7 linked regions of the Danio rerio genome follow. The protein of the gene in region 1 interacts with the protein of each later gene in a pairwise test. Links are inferred from orthologs where the notes say so. Each region holds a gene or a part of one and is shown in the gene's direction. Other genes may lie near its edges.

What was found.
Region 2: the proteins of exoc1 (region 1) and kif5aa interact in a two-hybrid assay, tested with the Homo sapiens proteins (2 studies listed by BioGRID and IntAct). The link is inferred for Danio rerio from reciprocal best matches to the Homo sapiens genes EXOC1 and KIF5A.
Region 3: the proteins of exoc1 (region 1) and sybu interact in a two-hybrid assay, tested with the Homo sapiens proteins (2 studies listed by BioGRID and IntAct). The link is inferred for Danio rerio from reciprocal best matches to the Homo sapiens genes EXOC1 and SYBU.
Region 4: the proteins of exoc1 (region 1) and sh3bp5a interact in a two-hybrid assay, tested with the Homo sapiens proteins (2 studies listed by BioGRID and IntAct). The link is inferred for Danio rerio from reciprocal best matches to the Homo sapiens genes EXOC1 and SH3BP5.
Region 5: the proteins of exoc1 (region 1) and ccser2a interact in a two-hybrid assay, tested with the Homo sapiens proteins (2 studies listed by BioGRID and IntAct). The link is inferred for Danio rerio from reciprocal best matches to the Homo sapiens genes EXOC1 and CCSER2.
Region 6: the proteins of exoc1 (region 1) and exoc2 interact in binary tests that used the Homo sapiens proteins (3 or more experiments, as listed by UniProt). The link is inferred for Danio rerio from reciprocal best matches to the Homo sapiens genes EXOC1 and EXOC2.
Region 7: the proteins of exoc1 (region 1) and srgap2 interact in a two-hybrid assay, tested with the Homo sapiens proteins (2 studies listed by BioGRID and IntAct). The link is inferred for Danio rerio from reciprocal best matches to the Homo sapiens genes EXOC1 and SRGAP2.

The regions. Positions count from the first base shown.
Region 1 is NC_133195.1:28,542,360-28,545,859, reverse strand, and holds part of exoc1 (exocyst complex component 1), read left to right. Parts: intron 1-669; coding exon 670-771; intron 772-1,522; coding exon 1,523-1,596; intron 1,597-1,683; coding exon 1,684-1,912; intron 1,913-1,990; coding exon 1,991-2,174; intron 2,175-3,500.
Region 2 is NC_133184.1:250,127-254,388, reverse strand, and holds the start of kif5aa (kinesin family member 5Aa), read left to right. Parts: upstream 1-1,462; 5' UTR 1,463-1,646; coding exon 1,647-1,775; intron 1,776-4,262. UniProt on the Homo sapiens protein: Microtubule-dependent motor required for slow axonal transport of neurofilament proteins (NFH, NFM and NFL). Can induce formation of neurite-like membrane protrusions in non-neuronal cells in a ZFYVE27-dependent manner.
Region 3 is NC_133191.1:43,563,962-43,567,922, forward strand, and holds the start of sybu (syntabulin), read left to right. Parts: upstream 1-1,161; 5' UTR 1,162-1,405; intron 1,406-1,680; 5' UTR 1,681-1,735; intron 1,736-3,961. UniProt on the Homo sapiens protein: Part of a kinesin motor-adapter complex that is critical for the anterograde axonal transport of active zone components and contributes to activity-dependent presynaptic assembly during neuronal development.
Region 4 is NC_133194.1:2,328,163-2,331,662, forward strand, and holds part of sh3bp5a (SH3 domain-binding protein 5), read left to right. Parts: intron 1-1,381; exon of another isoform or gene 1,382-1,480; intron 1,481-2,974; exon of another isoform or gene 2,975-3,004; coding exon 3,005-3,133; exon of another isoform or gene 3,134-3,291; intron 3,292-3,500. UniProt on the Homo sapiens protein: Functions as a guanine nucleotide exchange factor (GEF) with specificity for RAB11A and RAB25. Inhibits the auto- and transphosphorylation activity of BTK. Plays a negative regulatory role in BTK-related cytoplasmic signaling in B-cells.
Region 5 is NC_133192.1:28,006,502-28,010,660, reverse strand, and holds the start of ccser2a (serine-rich coiled-coil domain-containing protein 2), read left to right. Parts: upstream 1-1,359; 5' UTR 1,360-2,063; intron 2,064-4,159. UniProt on the Homo sapiens protein: Microtubule-binding protein which might play a role in microtubule bundling.
Region 6 is NC_133195.1:29,287,910-29,291,409, reverse strand, and holds the end of exoc2 (exocyst complex component 2), read left to right. Parts: intron 1-1,266; coding exon 1,267-1,322; intron 1,323-1,678; coding exon 1,679-1,801; intron 1,802-1,888; coding exon 1,889-1,950; intron 1,951-2,041; coding exon 2,042-2,101; intron 2,102-2,775; coding exon 2,776-2,869; 3' UTR 2,870-3,078; downstream 3,079-3,500. UniProt on the Homo sapiens protein: Component of the exocyst complex involved in the docking of exocytic vesicles with fusion sites on the plasma membrane.
Region 7 is NC_133186.1:23,504,428-23,507,480, reverse strand, and holds part of srgap2 (SLIT-ROBO Rho GTPase-activating protein 2), read left to right. Parts: intron 1-1,687; coding exon 1,688-2,143; 3' UTR 2,144-3,053. UniProt on the Homo sapiens protein: Postsynaptic RAC1 GTPase activating protein (GAP) that plays a key role in neuronal morphogenesis and migration mainly during development of the cerebral cortex. Regulates excitatory and inhibitory synapse maturation and density in cortical pyramidal neurons.

The DNA.
Region 1 (3,500 bases):
CTCCGGGTGCTCTGGTTTCCCCCACAGTCCAAAGACATGCAGTACAGGTGAATTGGGTAGGCTAAATTGTCCGTAGTGTATGTGAATGTGTGTGTGCATGTTTCCCAGAGGTGGGTTGTGGCTGGAAGGGCATCCGCTGCGTAAAAACTTGCTGGATAAGTCGGCGGTTCATTCCGCTGTGGCGACCGCGGATTAATAAAAGGACTAAGCCGACAAGAAAATGAATGAATGAATGAATAATAAATAAAATATGCATTCAATTAAAAAGCGTCTCTATATGTCTATATAGAGTTATATGTCTGTCTATATAATCTCTATATAAAATCTCTAGATATCTATAATGTTACAAAAATCACATTAAAATACATTCTGTGCTTTTCTTGTAAATATCATTTATCACAGTTTTCAGCATTAATAAAAAGGAGAAATCTTTTTTTAAAACAATATTATAATACAATATTGAGCATATTTGAATGATTTTTGAAAAAAAAAAAACATCAGTATGATTAATGCTAAAAAAATAAATGCTAAAAATTCAGCTTTTCCATCAAAATATTTTAAAAATTGTAATAGCATCTCACATTATTTCTGTTTACTGTACTTTTAGCAAGTAAATGCAGCCTTGGTGAGCATGAGATACTGAGTGTTTTCTCTGTTTTTGTGTTCCAGATCTTTGAGCAAGTTTTGAGTGAACTGGAGCCGTTGTGTCTGGCTGAACAAGACTTTATTAGCAAGTTCTTCAAGCTGCAGCAAATTCCTACACTAGCTCAGGTATAGTATAACGTACTGTAACTTCATATAAAAAACTTTTGGTAATGGCAGCTTAAAGACGCCTCTCATATGGAGAAAGAAGTCACAAGCATTGCTCAGATGTGATTTTATAAAACAAATTTACAGACATCAACAGATCGTAAAAATCTTAATGGTTCTGTGGGTCTCTTCTATTAAATCTGATCTTTATTTTGTATTTTCTGTTGGATTCAATTGAGTGATTGGCTGAGCCATTATATAGCTTGATTTTTTTTTTTTTCTCTCTGAAAGTATTTAAGAGTTTCCTTGGCTGTGTTTTGGGACATTGTCTTTCTGAAATGTCCACCCTGGTTTCACCTTCATCATCCTGATAATGTAGATGTTGAACTGAAGCAGCTGCCAGCTAATATTTATTTACAATGAGAAAGGGCAGAGGGTTGCTGAAGAACAAGAGATTTCAGCTGCTGACTGGGCTATCACTGTCTTTCTACACCTCCCTTCTTTAATGCGTTTAATACTTTTTACCTGCATAATTTAATTTTATCATACATAATCTAATTTGTTAACTAATTAGATTTGTTTTTTTTTTTGCATATATGGATTTCTTTGGTTGTTACCAACATCCGAATTATTTCAAGTCAATGCCACTTTTTAGAAATATGTTTTCTGAGAAAAATGGTGATGCGTTAAATATTTATTTTCCCCACTGTATATGCATGTGCATTTTATTTCTTTATGACAGTGTTTTAATGATCTTATAAATGTGGATTAGGGAGAGAACATGGATGATTCTGATGGACTGATGCACTCCAAACCGGTCAGTGAACACAGACATTCAATATCTGAGTGAGTGACCATTTTCTTCAGCTAATTTATTTGACAGCCAAATCTGTTTTTAAACAAGAAATAATCACACATCCACTTCTCTTGCAGGAAGGACATGGTTCGGATGATGATGAATAAGATATTTCAGAGTATTGAGACGGAGCTGAACAGTCTTATAGCTTTAGGTGATAAAATAGACAGCTTTAACTCTCTCTACATGCTGGTGAAGATGAGTCACCACGTCTGGACAGCAGAAAATGTGGATCCCGCCTCATATCTCAGCACAACCCTGGGCAACGTGTTGGTCACCGTCAAGAGAAACTTTGATAAATGCATTGTAAGTGGAGCTCAGGTCTTGAATATTGATGAATGTGAGATCAGCATTTGAAACTTCTTATGTTTCTGTCATTCTCAGTCAGCCCAGATTCGTCAGATGGAAGAGGTGAAGATTTCTAAAAAGAGTAAAGTGGGCATCCTGCCGTTTGTTACTGGTTTTGAGGAGTTCGCAAAGCTGGCTGAGGCTATTTTCCGGAACGCAGAGCGACGAGGGGATCTAGACAAGGCCTACATCAAACTGATGAGAGCTGTGTTTAATAACGGTGAGTGTCGCTACCCGGTTTCTCATATAGTTTTTCATTTGTCACTACTGGTTAATTGCTTAATGTAAGATTTTTTTTCTTTAAAGAATCCAAAAATCACTAGAACGATGTTATATATTTTGCTGTCTTAAGAACTTATATTATCCCAAATGTTTCAAAGGTTTGTCCTGTGTCAGCATGCTAATGATTTCATACATCCTCAATTTCTGGTTTAGTTTAATAGAAAATGGGGAAAATAAAACTTAGGACGCTTTAATATGTATGAGCAGCATTGTAACAAAAGTCTAATATGTATTTAGCAGTGTTGGGTAAGTTACTTTAAAAAAGTAATAGATTACAAATTACTGACTACTGGAAAATTCTCATCTAATTACATTACTAATTCCTTCATGTAAAAAGTAATCAGAATACTAATTACTTTACTTTGAAGTAGGGCTGGGCGATTATTCGATATCGATAATTATCACGATATAAAATTTTTCGATAAAACGATAATGACAGTTCGATAATTGCTCGATAATATTTACACACTATGCGTAACGTTGCGCAAGGATTTTGCAGCCTGCCCTTCCGGATGCCACACGCCGTACAAGTTTACAGCCATACAGTGTTAGTTGCACTGAAAGGAATAAGAAAGAAATAAGGTAAAAAAGGTCAGAGTCACAGACATTGTTGATAAGAAACATCACTAGACTTCATGTGCTACTTAGTTTTCGCTATCCGACACAAAACAGAGCAACGTGCACCGCAAACTGCTTAGATGACTCGTGTCATCAAATGCAGGCAACACCACGACCTGTTTCACCATGTAAAACAAGACCACCCTTATAAAGATGCTAAGAAATTACAGACATTAACAAGTGTTGGCAAACCAGCGCAGCTACCCAGCAGAGTCTCATTTCATTGTTTTCGAAAGCCGTGCTACGAGAACCCCCCTCCCCCCCCCCCCCCCCCCCCCCACGGGGGAGGACAGACGCAAGACATGACAGACGACACAATCTCAATCACATCTCAATGAACACTTGATGCTTGCTTATAAATGCAGCAAATATATGACAGACGTTTACAACAGCAGTGGATCATTAATTAAATAAATTTTTTTCACTGAACGAGCGAAGCATCATTCACCCGCAGTTGTTTAAGGCGGGCACGAACTAAATAAATATAAACACATTTTCAAGGAAATATATCTTTTTGTAACGAATTTCGTTTTGTATAATGTGTAACTTAATTTTGATGTATATTTTGTTGGTCATATCTACAGCATAAACAAGAGGAACGAATAACATTTAAGTTGAAGCGCTTTAACACAAGCCTGCTATATGC
Region 2 (4,262 bases), on another chromosome or scaffold:
GATTTAATTTTCAAAAATTAAGTTTCTGTGAAATCGAACACCCAGATCTTTGACAGTAAAACTAATACTAACGCTGCATTCTTCTAATTGCAGGTTGATTTATAAACTTTTGGAGTATTACTGTGGGCCCCAACAAAAATGACGAGCGTAGGTACAATGTAGAGCTCAGAATGTAGGCTAAACACACACACACACACACACATTGGGTTTTCTTGGTTTCCCCAAATACTCTAAAACAAATACTGAGCTGTATTAACCCAACAGTTGGGTTAAAAAGGTACCTAAATTGAATTAATAAAATTAAATATTCATTAAATTAAATATTTGACTCAACGGTTACAACAACCCTGCATTTATTATTCAGATATGCACGTGTTTCTAATGTATATCCTGTTCTCTTTAACCCTACACTACCCAACATTCGCAGGAAACAATCTGCACTTTAACATGTACAATATACATAATTCTCTATGATTTATCACTAGGTCCATATGCAATCTGTGTGCGCAGATGTTTAGCCCATCATTAATTCTGTTTATTAACTTGAGTAAATGTGTGTAAATCTATATTTATTCAGATTTTTAATTAATTACAGAAATATTATTGACTAATATGAAAATATCCATATGGTTTATGTACAATGCAGTCTACAGTAATATGTTCTGTATTTTAATAGAGATATTATATGAGAGACTTGCTTTGCTTACCAAATAAAGTGAATCTAATTGAATTTGCATTTTAAACATTAAATACAGGTTAAAAAGATATTATTTAAAAATAATTTTAATATTTTTTTTGTTTCACATATTAAGGTTTACTCCCAAAATAATTTCGGAGAAATCATCATATTTTTACCAAAATTCTCTGCCGAAATAGCAAAAAACATCCGCAGATCGCGTCTGGCCCTGGTTATGACCTTAAATTCATTCAGGTTTAGTTCAGTGTGTATAAACCTGAACACACACACAGACATAATTATCGCACACAGCTCATGAACAAACTCGATGAACTGTAAGCTGCACAATTGTTTAAATGATGTTTATTTGTTTCCAGTTGTGCATATTGGCATGTAAACAGGAACTGCTCTGTAATTGTGCACAGAATGGAGAACAGCGCTGTATCCAGCAGGCGGCAGCGATGAGTGCTTCCCGAGCAGCGCTGAGAAAAGTAATACACACCACGTGACAGCAAGTTTGCCTCAACAGAGGTGATATTATATAGATGTACGACTCATATCTGCTTAACAACGGTGTGGAAACTCATGTGAAAGTGTTTAGGTGAAATCAGACAGCGAGAAAGGCGAAAACATCCGTTTGCTCCGCTGAAGCCCCGCCCAGCAGTGTCCAGCGGCCACGCCCTGCTCCGCATCCCTCCTGACAACAGCAGCAGCAGCATCAGCAGCAGCATCAGCATCCTCCTCCTTCACAACACACATTTAGCACAGGGCAACACAAAAAACGCTGCATTAATAACAGCATCGTCTACTCGACGGGGTTTTCTCTCCAGCATCTTCGGCCGTTTCTCCGAGCAGACGCCATTTGCTCGCTCGACTCCAGACCTGAGCGCTGCCGTCCTCTGCCCCGCTATAAACAGCGCTTCTGCTCTCAGATAAAGCTATAGATATATATATTGTGTTCTGCATCATCATGACGGACGCCGCCGCGGAGTGTAACATTAAAGTGCTCTGCCGCTTTCGGCCGCTGAACCAGGCCGAGATCCTGCGCGGGGACAAATTCCTGCCCACCTTCCAAGGGGACGACACGGTCATCATCGGGGTAAACACAGCATTTCACTCTATATTTCTGTTTATTCGCGTGTGTGAGGGGTGGATTGTGAAGAGATGCTGCTGCAGGTTGTGTTTGTGTCAGTATGACGTCAGCAGATAGAGATGCTGCCGAGGCCTTATGATGAATACAGCAGGCCCTAATCATCATCATCATCATCATCATCATCATCATCATCATCATCACAGGCCTGGAGAATCAGAGGGTGGATCAGTTCATCATTCTAAAGAACATCCACCCTATTTTTCTCATTCAGTTTAAATAAATAATGCATTGTATCCTCTGTTTTGTGCTGGATTAGCTCGCTCTATAGGTATTATAATGTTGCTTTGTGGTGATTCTTACACCTTAATTTAATCAGAAAACACTCTCTGAGATTAATAATCTCTTTAACAGGAGTGTTCAGGTCAGAATGAGCAGGTTACAGACTTTACAGGACACATTAACACATTTAAAACAGTTACACTGAATTTAAATGCTTCTCATTTTGTCTTCTAGTCCAAAAACAAAATCTAGTGAAGCACAAGCTGCTACCTTATTTTGTGCTTTATTAAGAGGTTTAAAAAATGCATTTTATCTTCTAATCAGTGCTGCATTCGCTTGTCTGATAGTATCATCATATAATCTTTTGGAAGCTCCATTATTTGTTTTTGTATATTTATTTAATTTTTCTGTAGTCTAAATATCTAAAAATGCTTAAATCAAGAAGGATTTTCTTGATAAGCAGGAAAAATGGCTCATTTGATCATTTTTTTGCAGTTATTCAGCTTATTTTGTGTTTAATTAAGATGGTTTATCTACTATTTTGTGCTGGATTAGCTTGTCTGATGACATTATAATTGTATGTTTTTTCATTAATTTTAAACCTCAGTTTAATCAGAAAATAATCTGAGATTAATAATGTCTTTAACAGGAGTGTTCAGGTCAGAATGAGCAGGTAACAGACTTTACAGGACACATTTAAAACAGTTACACTGAATTAAAAGGCTTTTCATTTTGTCTTCTAGTCCAAATAATCATATTAAGCAGAAGCTGTGGTTCCTCAAAGCATTCTGATTCACCTTATTTTGTGCTTTCAATTTGTGGTTCATTTGATCATTTTCACAGTTATTAACCCCTTTTTTGTGTTTAAATAAGAGATTTCTGCATTTTATCTTCTACTTTGTTCTGTATTAGCCTGCTACACTGCAAAAAATGCTTTTCTTACTTTATTTTTTTGAAAATCTAAAAGTTCTTAAATCAAGAAGCATTTTCTAGACAAGCAAAACTTATTGTCTTGTTTTAAGAAATAATATGCCAAAATGAAGTGAGTTTTTTCTTAAATCAAGCTAAATAATCTGCCAATGGGGTCAGCAAAATAATCTTATCACAAATCGAAAACAAGACAACGTGTTTTGCTTGTCTAGAAAATGCTTCTTGATTTAAGAATTTGTAGATATTTGGACTAGAAACAAGACAATAATCTTAGTTAGAAAAGCATTTTTTTGCAGTGTAGCTGGTATCATAATGAATGCTTTTTATTTAACCAGAAAAGATTCTCTGAGATTAATAATCGGTTTCTGATCAGAATGAGCAACAAGACTCAGTTTACACATGGCAATAATGCTTTTCCTACTGAGAGTTTGTGTCCTGTTTCTATTCCAAATATCTAAAAATGCTTTAATCAAGAAGCATTTTTAATGAGCAGAAAATATAGTGTTGTTTTTAGCAATAATGAGTCAAAATGAAGAGAGTTTCTCTGTAAAACAAGCAGAATAATCTGCCAACAGGAGGAAGCAGAAACTTTGAAATAGCATTACTTCACTCACCCCTCTAGCAGGCACAGGCTGCCAGCATGACGTCAGATTGATATTGTACGTCATGGGATCATTGCATTTTGTTTGGAAATGAAAATTAATTTGATGTCAGAACCTGACATCAGGCTGATGTTGTGTGGACGTTACCAACATGACGTCTATCAGATGTTGGGTTTTAGTTACCTTACCTGAAGAGTAAATGTCAGTATCTGACGCCAATATGATGTTGATTTAAGATGTTGACTCGAGGTTTGATTTTGGTCACTTTCCAACACAACCTAAAATCAACCAAATATTAATGTCATTTGACGTCATTATTGGAAATGAAAATAACGTTGTCATCAGACGCTGGCTGACATTGATTACTGTTCAGCTGACGTCACAACCTAAATCTAACCTAATATTAACTCATGATGTTGTGTGCCTGCTGGGACAGATAACATTCCTTGTTTAAATGTAAATATCACTGCATTTTGACTCTGAAAAGAAAACTGTTTTTTGCTAGTCTAGAAAATGCTTCTTGATTTACTTGAATTTTTAGATATTTGGTTTAGAAACAAGAAATAAATCTTTAAAAAAATTTTTAAAGATTTAAATTTTATGAGATTAGTGCTTTAAATGTCAAAAATGAAGAAAACATGGTGAGATGTTGCTTGTTTAGAGCTTCTATCAGAAGAAAAAC
Region 3 (3,961 bases), on another chromosome or scaffold:
ATTAAATGTGTTATTTATCATTAAAAAATTAAACTAATTATAAAATAATAATTATAGTTTTAACTTGTAATACAGTGCCTTTTTATTGCATCACTGTAAGGAAAATCTTAATTGAATACATATTACAAATTATTACTTCTAAACTATAGGTATGCTGTATATAGACAATACATTGTATAGAAAATGCTCTCTTTACACAGATTTCTATTTAATAAAATTGGTTTTGCATAGTCAAGAGTAACCTAAAATTCTCCAATCACTGGTAGCTGAAATGCATTCGTAATTTGCCAGCAAGTTATTTTAATAAATACAAACAAACAAATAAAATAAGCAAATATGCACAAGCAAAAATGCAAAAAAATTGTTACATACTGATACATAATGTTACATTTTGATACTATGCAAAAAAATTGGGTTTCATTTAGCATATTTTGCTAGTTCATAATTAATATACTTTTAATTACGTAAAAAACAATTAAAGTTATACTGTATTCTAAAGCAGTCATGTAATTTACAATTTGTCTGGCAATAAAACTATTACTATTTTTACTGTAATACTTTCAATAAGACATTTACCCTATATTTTATAAAGCCTAATCAGTCGTAATAAGTCATAATTTATAATATTTACTCAATTAAGGCTGCCCTTAATATAGTGAAAAGTGACTGATAAGTTAAAACTATAACTTTAAATATTACATATTAACTATTCATAATAATTAAAAGTATTATTTATCATTTAAAAATTAAAAGATATATAATAAAAGTATAATAGTGTTAAATACGGTCCCTTTTTACAGTATCACTGAGGAGAATCTGAATTAAATACATATCACAAACTATGACTTATAAACTATGCAAACTGTATATAGAAAATGCATTGTATAAAAGAATAAGTTTTTAAATTATTTTTACAATATTGTATTTATGCTACATATAAATTCAGATTACTTGACAAGAGACACGTTTGTCAGTCCAAAAAGTGGCGTAACAATCCCATTTATTTAAAGGTTTCTAACAGCTTTTCACTTGCCAAAAGCATAAGGTCGTCATTGCTCATTAAAATTCGTGCGCGTCAGTAAACCCACTTGTTAAATCCCGATCCGCCACACAAGGGTTAATTTCTGCTGCGCGTTACATAACACACTCGAAACATTAGTCAGATTTGCGTTGTCCTGGCGATGTCAGTGTCCTCAGCCTCTTCTGCTCGAGCACAAACACACACAGACACACACACTGATGCTGTGCTGAATAATCTAGCAGACAGAGGCTGAAAGTCCTTCACATCGCATCAAAACAGCAGCAGAGCGGCGAGAGCGCGCATTGTGTTGTTTTGAGGAGCCACGGGGCCGCGCATCCTTCACTTTCTCTCATTCACTCGCAGGAATCAGCAGCGCATCACGAGGCAAGTGTCTTTACCGTCTGCGTCACACTCTTATTTCCATAATATTATGGATTAAAGGACATATTTTCACAAATATAATGTATATAAACTGTATTATTATAGGTATGGATTAAATGCGTATTCTACTCAACATGTTAACTGAGACAAACCAAACGCGACGCTATTGTTGATTGTTGATTACCGCGTAGCCTATGATTGTTTTATTCATCTTCGTCATTTTAGTTAGCTATTTTATAATTAGTTGTGTATTTATTTTCTTATTTATTCATTTTTAGGCGGGGCAGAGGCGTCACTGCACAGTTGTCAACAAGCTGAACGTCTGTAAGTCAGGTAACTGTCAATCATCTTTGGTTTACTTCATTTTACTCGTCCCTTCGCCTTTGTGGTAAAAGTCTTGTTTTTGAGAGGAAATTCAGTGTGCTGTGAATTCACAGAACGTTCTAAAACACTGTAAAAGTGTGCTGTGCATGCAAAGAGACATTTATGTTTGGTAAAATCTAAACTAATACGTGTTAATATTATTATTATTATTATTATTATTAAAATATATGTCAGTGCATTTTCTGTCAGTGCATTCTGATTTAAGATATATGTCAGTGCATTCTGATTTAAGAACACTTTTTAGTGTATTTTTTTTGTTAGAGAATAATAAAAATGTAATTTAAGTATAATGTTTTTCAACAAACAAAATTAAAATATATTTTTCTTATATAATGTCATAATTTTAATACACCCATCAAAACTTTATTTATTAATATTTATTAATATAAAATATAATATTTTATATATTATTATTTATTGATATTTAGTAATATTTTATGAATTATATATAATTAAGTTAATAATTATATATTATTAAGTCAGAATTATTAGCCACTCTGTTTTTTTCCAGTTTGTGTTTAACAGAGAGAAAAAAAAATAATCAACCCATTTCTAATCATAATAGTTTTAATAACTCATTTCTAATAACTGATTCATTTTATCTCTGCCATGATGACAGTAAATAATATTTTACTAGATATCTTTCACTTCTATACAGCTTAAAGTGATATTTAGAGGCTTAAATCAATCAATGCAAGGATACATTGAATCCTCACTGGAAATATCATTTGAGATAGATATCTGCTGAAATAACTATAGCCATTTAAAAATGCATGGAATGCTGTGAACTGTACACTATTAGAGAAAACAGAAGTAGAGAAAAAAAATGCTAAATTTGGTAGTCATGTACACTGACTAACGCACAACCTCAGCCTGTATTCAGCCATCTTCTTTTGTAGTCAAACTCAAACAGCAACATTGAAACAATGAGCAGAAGATGTACTCACAGCCAGAAGCAAATGCATCTGCACATAACTCTCTGTCTCAATAACATGGAGTCATCACTGATTTAGTGGACTATAAAGACAGAGCTAAAGTAAATGATTCAAACTCTCTCTAGATGCTAACATGAAGAGGACAACCTGAATAGTTAAACGTCTGCATATTAGAACTACAAACGTTAAATACTCTTCAAATTGCTGATTATAGTAGATAGCAATAATGATGACAATAGAGGGTACAGTAATTAGCTAAAAGAGAAGCATACACCGTAAAACTGACTTTCATTACTGTCATGATTTATACGTGAACTCATTCATAATAAAATATGTGAAGTATATTACATAAGCTGTTATGATTCAGCGAATACTCTCTGACTTCCCTCCTGTTTCTCTCCTTCCAGTCATGCCATTTCTAGTCAGTACGCATGAGCTGGCTTTAAAGAGATTGCATCAGTAACTTCTAACTCAGTCAGGCTGAAACTAGTCTCAGCTTTTCTATTAGGCTGACAAGACAGAGTAAAAACACTTAAGCTTCTTGTTTTGACACAAGATATCAATCTAGGACAGAATGGCTGACTAGTGTCCCTGGCTTCTTTAAATGGTGTTTGTTCCTCTGCATTGCCAGGTCTTAAGTCTGTTGTTTGGTACTGTCGTTAAGAGTTGATTTGGACTCCAAGAGAGAATAGGCTTGCTCCCATGAGTGGCAATTGCATAGCAAACTGATTAAGTGGACCAACAAATTAAATCAAGCAAGCAGGTCGCTGGTTTGAGTCCTAGCTGGATGGCATTTCTGTATGGAGTTTGCATGTTCTCCCTGTATTCATATGGGTTTCCTCCAGGTGCTACAGTTTCCCCCACAGTCAAAAGACATGCAGTATAGTTTCTTAAATTTCAAAACACTGGCATTTTTATTTTATTTATGACTTATTTATTTATTAAATATATTTTTATTCAACTTCAGATTTTTAAATGTCTAACATTTTCACAGACCCCCTAGGACTCTCCCCTAGACCCCTGGTTGTCACCGGACTTCTATTTTAAAAAAATTATAAACATTATATTGTCTTTTTCTTCCATTTAATCAAAGAAAATTATTTCATTCAAAGCCAGATAATGACATTTGTAAATGTCAGTGCAGTGTTTTATTTCTGGATGAATCTTTTTTAAATAATTAGGGGAAACTGTTTACAGACTAAGCTTCATTTTGTAAATGAATCAGCCATTTGAACTAATC
Region 4 (3,500 bases), on another chromosome or scaffold:
TTATATCAGGGTTATTGTTCTAACATTAAATGTTTTTTGAAATAAAACAAAACTAAAACTCACGCTGAAAAATAGTCATATATATACATATGTTTCCCAGAGATGGGTTGCGGCTGGAAGGGCATCCGCTTCATAAAAACATGCTGGATAAGTTGGTGGTTCATTCTTCTGTGGCGACCCCGGATTAATAAAGGGACTAAGCCCTATATATATATATATATATATATATATATATATATATATATATATATATATATATATATATATTATATGTATGTATGTATGTATGTGTGTGTATATATATATATTAGGGGTGTTACTGTTCACAAAAATGTTCGATTTGATACAGTGGTGTCACGGTTCGGAACGTTTTCGATACAGCAAAAAAAGAAAAAAGCCAGATTGTTTCTCTCGATTAAATTTTTCAATGTATTAAAACTAACATCATAAAAACTATGAGCCTGTTTTTTTTCTTTTACTTTAAACAGTATTAGAGCTTTACTTCCGGGGTTTTTGCTTAGCAGCAAATAAAACAAATCCTTCTTTATACTCAAAACCAAAAAGCCACTTACAAAAAATAAATATAATATTGTAGCAGTTCAACAAATAAAAAGAAAATAACAATTTAGATTGCATATGGAACTCAGTTTCAATTAATTTTGAAGTATTTTTTTATTTTCAGAAGGATGAGTCGCGATGAGATGCACAATTTCGTGAAGATTATCCTTCGTGTGCGGGCATCCAGGAGTCTCCCAAAGCTTCCGGGAGACTTGGGATGTCTGGGATTACATTAACGTTACTCGTCATTTTGCGAGCTAGCGTAGCGAGTGCCTGGAGTAGTGTTTGGAGGTTGGCTCTTTTGTGTCGGGGGTCCAGGGTTACTGGGGCAACAGGGGCAAAGCCAGCACGAGCAGCCAGGCTGACACAGAAGCTAGCAAGATTGCTAATGGGTGCATGCTTTAATAAAGTGATATTCTGAGTTCAAAAGCGATGGTCTACTGTTTAACATGGATTTTAGATGTTAGTCTGAATTGAATCGTTCGGTTTGTAATGTGTACCGAACCGAAAGTCTCGTACCGAACGGTTCAATACAAATATGCGTATCGTTACGCCCTTAAAAAAAAAAAAAAAAAAATTATATATATATATATATACATACACACAGTTGAAGTCAGAAATATTAGCCCCCCTTTCATATTTCACAAATGATGTTTAACAGAGCAAGGATTTTGAGCTGGAACACTCTAGGGACATCTGATACTTATTTTACATCTTGTAAATAGGGACATAATAGGTCATCTTCAAAGCCTAATATCAGATTCATGGCTATTTCTCCCTCCTCACTTATTATTATTTATTAAGAAATATTAGGAATGCTCACCCACATTACACTGTATGTGATGGTCAGGACTGAACCAGGAAGTGTCAGTCTGTCAGAGGAAGTCTAAATCCCTGTGGCGTGCATGTTCTCACTGAGGTCCTGTGTGGAAGGATGTAGATGTCAGTGTTTTTATATTTATCATCAGAACAACCAAACCCACCCGACAACAGATTCATCACCGACTGAACCCGATAGACACGTGAATCAAACTCCTTTAATGCAATAAACACCACTCTTTGCTTGTGCTGAGGAGGAGTTTGTGTCTAGAAAGCGGCTTGCAGATTCTTTCTTAACTCTGTTAAAGGCTGAATTGAGTTAGCTGAAGCAGCGCTTTTCAGAGAGCAACAAAGGGCGGATTATCAAAGCGTTTCATTGCTGTGAAACTGAAAGATGGACGCACATAATTCTGAGATTCCTGAGCGTACAGTTCATGCTGCCTGGATATGATGAGCCTATCAGTGCACTGGGATTCAGTCAGACTCAATGTACAGTAACTCGCTCCTGACCACTTTGCAACACAAAGACAAGACAACTCAGCTGTCGGTGGCTTTTATGTAATACTGCATGCAGCTGAATTTATTATCCATAATGCATCTGAATACTATGATTGACCTCAGAGAGCATGGCTCAATGATGCTTACTCCAGACAAAAAATGCACTTTACATTTACAGCTGAAGTCAGAATTATTAGACCCCTTTGAATTTTTTTTTTTAATATTTCCCAAATGATGTTTAACAGAGGCGAGGCAGTGGCGCAGTAGGTAGTGCTGTCGCCTCACAGCAAGAAGGTCACTGGTTCAAACCTCGGCTCAGTTGGCGTTTCTGTGTGGAGTTTGCATGTCCTCCCTACCTTCGCGTGGGTTTCCTCCAGGTGCTCTGGTTTCCCCCACAGTCCACAGACATGCGGTACAGGTGAATTGGATAGGCTAAATTGTCCGTAGTGTATGAGTGTGTGTGTATGTGAATGTGTGTGGATGTTTCCCAGAGATGGGTTGCAGCTGGAAGGGCATCCGCTGTGTAAAAACTTGCTGGATAAGTTGGCGGTTCATTCCACTGTGGCGACGCCGGATTAATAAAGAGACTAAGCCGACAAGAAAATGAATGAATGAATGTTTAACAGAGCAAGGACATCTTCACAGTATGTCTGATAACATTTTTTCTTCGTGAGAAAGTCTTATTTGTTTTATTTCGGCTAGAATAAAAGCATTTTAAAATTTTTTAAAGGTCAATATTATTAGCCTCTTTAAGCTATATTTGTTTTCGATAGTCTACTGAACAAACCATCGCTATACAATGACTTGCCTAATTACCCTAACCTGCCTAGTTAACCTAATTAACCTAGTTAAGCCTTTAAATGTCACTTTAAGCTGTATAGAAGTGTCTTTAAGTCTATTATTTACTGTCATCATGGCAAAGATAAAATAAATCAGTTATTAGAAATGAGTTAATGAAACTATTGTGTTGAAAAAATCTCTCCGTTAAACTAATTCTGACTTCAACTGTATATTCAGGATTGTGAATGATTAATGGAGCAGATTAATTTAATCACTGAATCATTTACTGGTGGTTTTGAGGATAGATTTTTATATTTACCAACTCCAAAATATGCTTCTGGTTGTTCAGGACTCCCGGCAGAAGTTTCGTGCTGTGCTGGTGGAGGCAACGGTCAAGCTGGACGAGCAGGTGAAGAAGATCGGCAAAGCTGTGGAAGAATCAAAACCATACTGGGAGGCCAGAAGAGCAGCGCGACAGGTCAGATCAGCACACATAATCCATCCAAGCTGCATGGTTTGTTTTATTATACCTTAAGAAATGTGTTGTTTCAGCTCAAATTAAATGAGTAGTTTGAACAAGCAGCCAACATGATTTTTTGAGCGCTGTCAGCCGGCTAGAAATCAGGGTTATGTAATGCAGGTCTGTCTGCGGTGATGGAGGATTGTTAAACAGCAGGAAACAGCTGATGACCGGTTCAAGAGGGCATTCAGAGCCACACACACACACACACACACAGAGAAACACACACACATTTACTGACTCCAACATCTGAGACCGTCTGTACGAAAATACAGGCGACTATACACACGAATGGAAACTATGTAGAAATGTGCCGTAGCATGTC
Region 5 (4,159 bases), on another chromosome or scaffold:
GTGTATAAATTGTAGGGTTTAAAGGGATAATTTCCCTTAATTATTTAACTTACCATTTACCTGCCATCAAGTGCTTCCAAACCTTTAAGAGTTTTTTCCTTCTGTTGAACCAAAAATTGAACAAAAAGAAACAAACACAATATATACAGTAATAACTAATGTTGTGTTTAACAGAACAAAGTAAGTCAAACAGATGAATTTGACATTTTGGGTGAAGTATTTCTTTGGAGACGTTCACTATCTAAATGCCACCAGAGACATTTTCAAAGGGACATTTCACTCAAAAAAGCCAAAAAATTCTGTATATTTTTTTCACCAGCAGGCCATTCAAGACATCAACTTGTGAGCCACAGGTTTTGATTCTGTTCAGCCTGTTATTTATTATAATTTTTTTTCATTAAGGACCACGGCTTCAGCTTAAAACCTTTTAAATGGTCTTCTGAAGAAATAATAATTTTAAAAATAAAATAAAATGCATGTATGACTGACGACGCGGTGATGCAGAAGGTAGTGCTGTCGCTTCACTGTAAGAAGGTCGCTGGTTCGAGCCTAAGCTGGGTCAGTTGGCATTTCTGTGTGGAGTTTGCATGTTCTCCCCTTGTTTGCGTAGGTTTCCTCCGGGTGCTCCGGTTTCCCCCACAAGTCCAAAGACATGCGTGACAGGTGAATTGGGTAAACTGAAATTGTCCGTATTATATGTGTGTGAATGAGAGGGTTTCCCAGTGATGGGTTACGGCTGGAAGGGCATTCGCTGTGTAAAACATGTGATAAATTGGCGGTTCAATCCGCTGTGGCGACTCCAGATTAATAAAGGGACTAAGCCGAAAAAAATGAATGAATGAATAAAATACATGCAGTTATAAAATAAATATGGTGTATTTTAATTCAACACCAACTTTGCCACCGAGCCCTCTCCTCCTTTCTTTCTGAGTGAAGTAAGAAACAGGATTCAGGTTTTGCCACAGACACCTGATATTACTGGCACTGTGTTGAAATCCATCCATTAGGCTTTGCCCAGCACTTCACATCTACTATGGTGTGTGTATTAATATCATTGTGTGTATATATGTATATTGATATTAACTTACACAGCCTTTAAAGTAATCTAAATGTTTTCATTTAATTGAAACCAGTTTTGCAATTCATTGACTTAAGCAAAAATATGGAAACTAGGCCCAACACAATCGTATGCCTATATACATGCCTATATAAACAAACTTACAATCCACATCCAATAAGGCAGACAACGTTTGTTTGATATTAAACATAACCATCCTTGCAATTATATAAAACATAATAAACGTTCTACATCACATGTCAACACCGTCATTCAAGTATCGCGCGCGCTCCCGGCAGCTCGTGCACTGTGAATCACGTCCTACGTCACCGAGTCACACTTGCAGCGCGCGTGAGTGAGAGTATGGTCGCTGCTCTCGGTGGGGTTGAGGGAGGTTGTTTGTAGGCGCGGGCCAAAAGCTGAGCGCATGCTTTTTTTTAAACACTAGCGGAAGACCACTAGCTTGCTTTAGCGTCATGAGTAAACCGCTGTTTAGTTCTTTGCTACCGTACGCTTCGCGTTAATTTGGAAGCTGAAGTGAACCGAGCAAGGTGCAGATGAAGAAGAGAGGATGCTGGAATGAGTGACGAAACACAGCAAACATCATGATGGAGTCTCACTTCACCACAGCATCACTGTGTTCCCGCTGCTTTCGCGCTTTAAAGTCGCAGTTTGTAACGCTGAATTTCGATATTTAAGAAGGAGTATTGTTTGCTTTCGTGCTGCTCGTGAAGCCGTTGTTTTGTTTGTGTTGGTAGTTTTAATCGATGCTCTGGAATAATCGCGCTGAGTAAGAGGAAGCCTTTCCTGGTTGATATAATTAACGTGCTTACTGCATAGGGTACATTTCGCTCGTTCATTGTCTACTGTATAATGTTGTATATAAAATAAGTAAGCTGACTACTCGAGCCATGGACTGTGTTAAAATACTAGTTAAAGTTGAACGTGGACTCTTGAGCTTTGACGTTGACATCATGGATAGACGCGGCTGATTTTCATCGAACAGGTGAGTCACATGAGCCAACGTTAATCTAGTGTTTATGTGCACTCTTACAGGGATGGGAGGAGAAGGAATCTATGTTTTAATTCGTGTTCTTTACCTGTTTTACTAACTATTCTGTTAGCATGTTTTCCTAAAAAAAATAATTTGAGTAGAATCAGGGGCGGACTTGATGATTTGGGGGCCCTGAGCAATTCCATGTATAGGGCCCTAGCATTGAAACAAAAAAGATATTTGTTTTCTCTCTAGATAATTTTTAAAAATATATATATTTAAAGTGGAACCTTCTTAAACTTAAAATCTCAATACAATATATTTACAAATAAAAAACAAGCTCACAAACTATGTACAGTTAATTAGCCATACTTACGATTTGTGATTAGATTTTAATATTTGCATGTGCAGTATGATATGGAAGGATTGTTCCACTATTCATGGGACCCGTGGATTTAGAAAAGAAATAATAATGTCAACATTTTAATGGTTTTAGACAAATTTTACAACACATGATAGAAAAATTATAAAATAGCTTCAGAATGATTAATATAGGCTTCTTGGCATTGTTGGCACTGTTTTTCCAGGGCCCTAAGCAATGAAAGAATGACATTGAAGCGTTGTCTGATTGACAAGCAGCAGCTACATGTGTTCAAAAGAATCTAAAACTCTAATTAGGATGAATCTATGCCAATTTTTCTGAAGTAATACAATCTGTATCTAGCTTTTCGCTTGTACGGTGGCTCTGAACTGTTAAAACACCTTTAAAAAAAAGAGGCTTTTTCGGACATGACATATTTGTACACATGCACATCACTGTAACATTTTTTATTCAAGAACATTTGAGCTGGTTTTAGTCCTTAGCTCTTTCATTTTCATTTTGTTTAAAATATATTGAACTTGCTTGTTAATTCATTCCCAATTTGTTATTTAACCTATTTATTTTTATGCAACAGTCAAGTTGCATGTTAATTTGCTATAAAGAAAAGGAAATAATTTTGTTTGTGCATGCTGATTTACGTGAAATCGTGAAAATAGGTCTATATAATCACCTTGCAATTTTGAAATTATTGCTTTTTGCTTTGAGTGTAGACTATTCAGTTCATAAGAGCAGTTCAATCTTTTATGAAGTTTGCTGTTTGCTGCCTATATACATTAGCTATCGGCATCCAAGTCTGAAGAGTTATATCCGCCAAAAAATTTATATATGTGCATCCTTAACCTCACTTATTAGTAAAGTCCACCCCTGTGTAGAATAACATTAAAAATCCAATCACCATTGCGTTAAATGCTCTCAGCACTGTTACAAAATGTAGCACATCACGCAGTTATTTTTAATAATGCTAAAAGAATAAAATAGTTTGCCATTCATTTATGTAAAGTGAGTCAGGTACTTCTCAGACTGATTCACTGCTAGAAGGTCAGAAAATAACCTTATGATTCATTTCTTCCACCTAACGTATTTCGACAGAAATCGTGCCATACTTGTGTATTTATATATGTGTACTTTATTTAAGTACACTTAACAATTACAGTTAAGCATTATATTTAAAAAAAAAACCCATCTAAATATTGGTTAGTAAGTGTTCATTAAAGGGATTGTCAGCCTATTTCTCTAGAATAGCAGTGCAGGAAATAGAGTAATTTATGATGTTCTGCATTTGCAAAAGAAAGCTAATAAGGTAATTTATTGAGTCCAATATTTTACAAATAAATCATTAAATTATATAACAAATTAGGGTTGGGCCGATAAACAATATTTTATCGAATCGCAATAAAATTTATGTCATTAACAATCATAAGCTCTGGACTTTTTTACTCTATATTGATCTAAGACCCAATCACGCAACAGAAATGTGCAACAATGGGAATCTTAAAAGTGTGTTGATATTAGAGGTGTACCGAGTTTTTGGCTGCCAAAAATGTTTTGTTCGAAAAAATGTTATTTAATTGACCCTCTAATTTTTGTGCCTTCAGCCATTCTCGGTTTACTCTTTTACATCTTGAGGCATTAACAACTTATATTGAAATATATATTGTTATTGTTCAATATATCACTAGGGCCAGACAGAATCTCCAGATATTTTTGGCTATTTCTGCTCAGAATA
Region 6 (3,500 bases), about 750 kb from region 1:
ACCATGTTGGAGCCCCTTTTGCCTTCAGAACTGCCTTAATCCTTCGTGGCATAGATTCAATAATGTACTTGATATATTCCTCAGAGATTTTGGTCCATTTTGACATGATAGCACCACGCAGTTGCTGCAGTTTTGCCTTCTGCACATCTATGATATGAATCTCCAATTCCATCACATCCCAAAGGTGCTCTATTGGATTGAGATCTGGTGACTGTGAAGGCCATTTGAGTATAGTGAACGTTTTGTCATGTACAAGAAACCAGTGTAAAATGATTCGTGCTTTATGACATTTCGTATTATTCTGCTGGAAGTAGCCATCAGAAGATGAGTAAACTGTGGTCATAAAGGGACGGACATGGTCAGCAACAATACTCAGGTAGGCTGTGGCAGTGACACAATGCTCAATTGGTACTAATGGGTCCAAAGTGTCCCAAGAAAGTATCCTTACACCATTACACCACCAGCCTGAACCGTTGATACAAGGCAGGACGGATCCATGCTTTCATGTTGTTGATGCCAAATTATGACCCTACCATCTAATGCTGCAGCAGAAATCAAGACTCGTTAGGCAACGTTTTTCCAATCTTCTATTGTCCAATTTTGGTGAGCCTGTGCAAATGTAAGTTTCCTGTTCTTAACTGACAGGAGGGGCACCTAGTGTGGTCTTCTGCTGCTGTAGCCCACCTGCCTCAAGGTTGGACGCGTTGTGCATTTAGAGATGCTCTTCTGCATACCTCGGTAGTGACGAGAGGTTATTTAAGTTACTGTTGCCTTTCTATCAGCTCAAACCAGTCTGGCCATTCTCCTCTGACCTCTGGCATCAACAAGGCATTTGAGGCAACAGAACTGCTGCACACTGGATATTTTTCCCTTTTTCTGACAATTCTCTGTAAACCCTAGAGATGGTTGTGCGTGAAAATCCTAGTAGATCTGCAGTTTCTGAAATACTTAGACCAGCCCATCTAGCACCAACAACCATGACATGTTTAAAGAAATTTGTTTTAACAAGCAGTTGGACAGGTGTACATAATGAAGTGGATGGATGGATGGATTGACTTTTTTATGTAAGTGGTGAACGGTACACTTCCACTAAGCCTAGAACTCATCAGCCAGTGTCTTCATTTCTCCAGATCAGTTTATTAATATTGAAATTAAGTAATTAATATACATGAAACATGCACAAACATGAAGCTTCTCTGTATGTCCTAAATGAATTAACTCATTGATCAACCTTTTCCCATTTTTTTTTCTCTCTTTCTGACTCAGGCGTGAGGAGTTATTTGAAGGAGGCTTTGGTCAGCATCATCTCTGTTCATGCTGAGGTGAGAGAACAAACCCTTCTGTAAAAGATGACTTTTTAGACCTTACTCCAGAAAAAAGGCACATGTTCTATTCAAAACTCTAGAGAGCTGTTTACAGCATTTAAAGGATATGCAAACTATGCTTTCTGGAAAATTATTTCATCAGACTTGGCATAAAAAAAGCATATAAATCAACTGTAAATGTACACCACAGTTCAACATTTTTTTTTTAAAAAGTAAAGTTTTGCTCACTAAGCTGCAGAAGTACAAATTAAAATACATTTTTAATTTTAAAATACTCTATTATGTAACTAATTCTTCATTTATTTGTAGCATAGGTCAACATAGATTTTCTGTATTCTTCTGTTTTTGCCCAGGTTTTCACAGTTTCCAAGGAGCTGGTTTCTCGTGTTCTTTCAAAGATCATCGAGGCTGTAGCAGAAGAAATGAGTCGCCTCATGCAGTGTGTGTCTTCTTTTAGTAAAAATGGTGCCTTGCAGGTATGGTAGCATCCTTCACATACACAATAAGCATTTGATCTGAAAATACTAAAATTGACATTACCCTTTTTATATTACTCTCTCGAGGCGCGTCTGGAGATCTGTGCTTTGCGAGATGCTATAGAGCCCTATCTCTCATCAGAGAGCTGGTAAGACATGCGACTGCAATGAGAAATTTAAACAGAAAAGGTGAAAACTGTTAGTATGTTAATGCTCATGATCTTTTCATTTGTGTCTCAGCACTAGTTTTAAGCAGGCATTGGAAGCGCTTCCACAGCTACAGAGTGGAGCTGACAAAAAGTAAGTTACACTTCAGTATAGTTACAAACATGACTGAAACCTTGACACTGATAACACAAAACTATTTAATATTTAATACTAACTGCTATTAGAGATTATTAGAAATGGGGATGATGATTATTAAAACCATTTAATTGTGATAATTTAGGAATGACTTTATTATGCAGATTGGTGCTCTAGAAATCAAAAGTTGAAAATGGTTTTGCTGCTTATTTTTTCTGGAAATTCTCTGATTAAATGTTACTGTATCTTTTGATCAATAAGAGAGTTTACAAGTACAGCATTTGACGTTTTTTTAAACATTATAACCATTATTACTATCAATTTAATGTGTTTTTTCTGAACTCAATCCTCGTGACCTCAAAATTTCAAGTGGTTATGTTTATTTTTAAATAATAACATTTGTGGAGGGGTAGTGAAAATGCAAGGGCAAGTTAAAATGATAACTGTCAGGTTGGCTGGGCCAACACATCTTTACATTTAGCCAAAACTGAAGATTACAAATTACGCTTGATTTTAAACCAGCCAGTAGTGCATCAGTAGAATCAGATCATACGTCTACACAAATCAATTTTGGTTTTATCCTGGAACATTACTTAGAATTGAGTATTTTGTGTTTACCAGAGTGTTTTTTAATATCTCTTTTCTACATGTATCTCTTTCTCTTTTCTCAGACTCTTGGAGGAGCTACTGAATAAGTTTAAGAGCAGTATGAAGCTGCAGCTAAATTGCTTCAAGCCTGCCTCATTTCAGCCTGTAAAGCGATAAACCTTCACAAAGCGCCAACATTTCAATTACTCTTTTGCATTGTAACACTAAGAAACCATTTCAATTTTAAAAACCATTAAAAGCCAATTTAGTGCCACTAAAATAGCTTTTTCCTTTCAGAATAATTAACTTGACCAGTTGTACTGCCTCTTCATTCACCTTAATGATCACAGTTTTGGTTTAAACTAAAATAAATTCATGTATGCTTACACTGAGTGGGTTTTTAATGTACATTAATGTGCAAGAAATGTGCCAGGATTCTGTTTTTGTGTTCGTGTCAAAGGGATAGAAATTTGCAGAGTTTTGCATTTTGTGGATGATACGGTTGAGTTCAGAAATGACTCTTGTCTTCTTTTTTCAAAAGAGTCGTTTCTCTTGAAGTCTATTATGACCACTGATGCATGCACACACCCTGTCTGGTGTCAGATGGAAAGAAACACACCCTGCCACCTTGAGGAAGTGTTTAATGCTGGGAGGTGGCCTTCACTCAAAGAGCACTGGCATGTGGTTTGGGAGTTAAAGAAATAACTGATTAGAACACACGCTAGACACTGAGTTAATATGATTTTTTTATTTAACCTTTATTTTATTATATAGGCTTTTTGTGCTAGTAAACAATCTGTAAAGTTAC
Region 7 (3,053 bases), on another chromosome or scaffold:
TGCGTGAGACCAATCAAGGATCAAAACATGACATCTCTGGACAGAAATTTAAAACATGGAGCAATCACTTGCTTTTTTAAATGTCTAATAAGCTTGTTTAACCCTGCCCCTTTTTGCAGCGCTGCACGACAGAATATCGCACGCTCAAACTCTAATGTGACTGCAGCTTCAAGCAGGTGTGAGTTGGAGGTGGTTGGAAAAAATTTTATAAAACAGTTCAAAATGGTTGAGCAAATGTAAAATTTCTCAAAATGGTATGAGCCAAAACTCCAGACTCGGTGCAGTTGTAAACATAGCTGCATGTAATGCTTGTAATGATCACCCCTAATCCTACCCCTTACAGTGACATCACTAGCTACATTAAGTGTCAGTCTCAGCTTGCAAATCCAAGTCTGCATTTAGATAATATTGGAAATTTGGAACCATCCTGCCAAATTTTGTGTTTCTTGGAACACAGCTTGTGCTTAGGCCCCTAATAAATACTGTAGACACACAGGTCAACTTGAGAGCCTGCTTTCCTCTCTGAAAAAGTGCTGAGGTCTCCAGAGGAGCTTGTGTGTTTTAGAGAGTTCTACAGTATTTGTCTTTCTTTGAGCTGTAATTTCACGGTTGGACAGAGCTGCTCCATCTATCCCGGCTGCTGGAAATTGAGTGTGAGTTTCTGTGGTTTAGTCATTGTAGACATGTGGACATCTTATAGATTTGTTGTTGAAAGCCTACAAGGTCTGACCTTAGCGAAAACATTTAGCAATAGATGGTGTCTTTTTAAAAAGAAGTGAAGTGAACTTTTTACTCCTTTTACTGTGGCTTTCGTAGTTTGAAAAAAACAACAACAACAAAGATACACTTATATATATATATATATACACACACACACACACACACACACACACACACACACACACACACACACACAGTTAATTACATATAATTCAAGCATTTAATATTGTATGTGTCTTAGATTATTACAAATTAAAACATTTATTAAATTATTAAATTATTAAAATTATTAATTTATTATTATATTATATTATATTATATTATATTATATTATATTATATTATATTATATTATATTATATTATATTATATTATATTATATTAATAAGTAGGTTATGGAATTTAGTTATATTCAAATATTTATATAGGTTAAAACTACAAATATATGGTGCTTTTTTTCTTTAAAATGCCAGATTATAAACTAATGAATATATACAATAATATTGCAAACAACATGCAGTATATAAACGTCCTTTAAGATAATTTAATTTTGACTATACTGTATGTATGAGAGTACAGACATATTTTCTTCTGCTGTCTTACAAATAATCTTTAGATAAAAACAATAAATAAGCAAAAAGAAAATAAGAATACTATCAAAACTTTCTTGGTTCTGATTATTTTTTACATAAATGTAAAACCAAAAAAATCTGAATAAATAAGAATATAAGTGTAATGGAATTTTTTTATGCTTTTCATTACAAAACTTTATGAGAAACAATTCAATCTAATAAACATTGTCAGTCACACTTCATTTTAATTTTAGTTTACAATTCATGCTATTAACAAACTATTAACTAAGTCTTTTAGCTCAATAAACGGCTAATTGGCTGATTATTAATAGCAAGGTAGTAGTTGGTTTTAGGTAAAGATATTTACATTGTATTTTATTTGTTTTCTTTCTGCAGGACATCGAGGCCACTATGAACACGGCTCTGAGTGAGCTGCGAGAGCTTGAGAGGCAGAGCAACGTCAAACATGCTCCAGACGTGGTTCTCGACACACTGGAGCAGCTCAAAAGTGGCGGGACATCTGAACCATCCAGCCCTCTCCATTCCCGCCTGCTCCGCGAAGCTGAATCCTCTCAGCATCCTCTGCAGCGCAGCGCCAGTTCAGCCAGCGACATGCCCTCCACTTTCCGACCCAGCAAAACCACAGGCCCCAAGAGCCCTCTGTCCTCCATGACCACCGCTTCTGGCTCCACATTCAGAGATAACAAACCTCCAGCCACCAGACCCAAGCCTGTGGTGTTCCCCAAAAGCAGTTCAGCCGGAGGAAGTCCGGCTATGGGATCTCCAACCACCACCATCCCACCAACACCACCACCTCCACCACCACCCACCGACAAATCCTGCCCCGTCTGAGGGTTTCCCAGCAAAAAAACAACAGGATAGTTTAGATTTGAGTGAGCGAGTAAGTGTTTAATACACACAGGATGATTTTTCAGCAGTTGTTAGTTTGGACTGAGACTCGGACATCAGCCGGATCTTCTTTTCTAATCCCAGTTTAGAGCTTTGGAGTTCTTTTCTGTCTGTACAGACTCGTTTTAATGGGAAAAGACTTTTTTTGAGGTCAAAGAACTATTCGAGGAGACATTTTCACCTCAGACTTTAGTGCAAATTGAAGCAGGTTGAATGGAAACACATTTTTTTTTCCTCCTGATATAAATCCGCCACTCAAATGCAATGACATTTCTGAGTCGATCCAATCCGTCAGATTCTACAAATCCAATAATCACTAGTTATACTTCATAATTCACCTTATAACCTACACTGGCACTCTTTTTAGCCAACCAAACCATAAACGTGACAAATAAACACGTTTGCATGAAGATCCACAAGATTTTTTGCATGATGAACGCGACTTCCCAAACCATTGGATTTATCATCGATATTCCGTAATTGCTCCAAAGCACTTCTGAATTCATTAACAGTCTGAGATGTCATTTTATTCTACTATTATAATATCATCGGGCACATAAAAAAAGGGTGTTGTTTTGTATAAGTCTAATAATCGTGATTATAACTGGAAACAAGTATCTAAAAATGAGGAATGTCAAGAAAGCACATTATTTCTTCATGGCCCGTGTGTAAAAAAAAAAGAAAAAATAACAAGAAAAATAATTCTCCCTAGGTCATTACTCGCCTCTGGGTCTGTATCATGGTATCTATGTATTAGTATGTGTGTTTACGTACAGTATGTATATAATGACTCTTCGTAGCAGCCTGACAGCAGTTTCTTTATTTTATTTGATCAGATTTACAATGCAAAAAA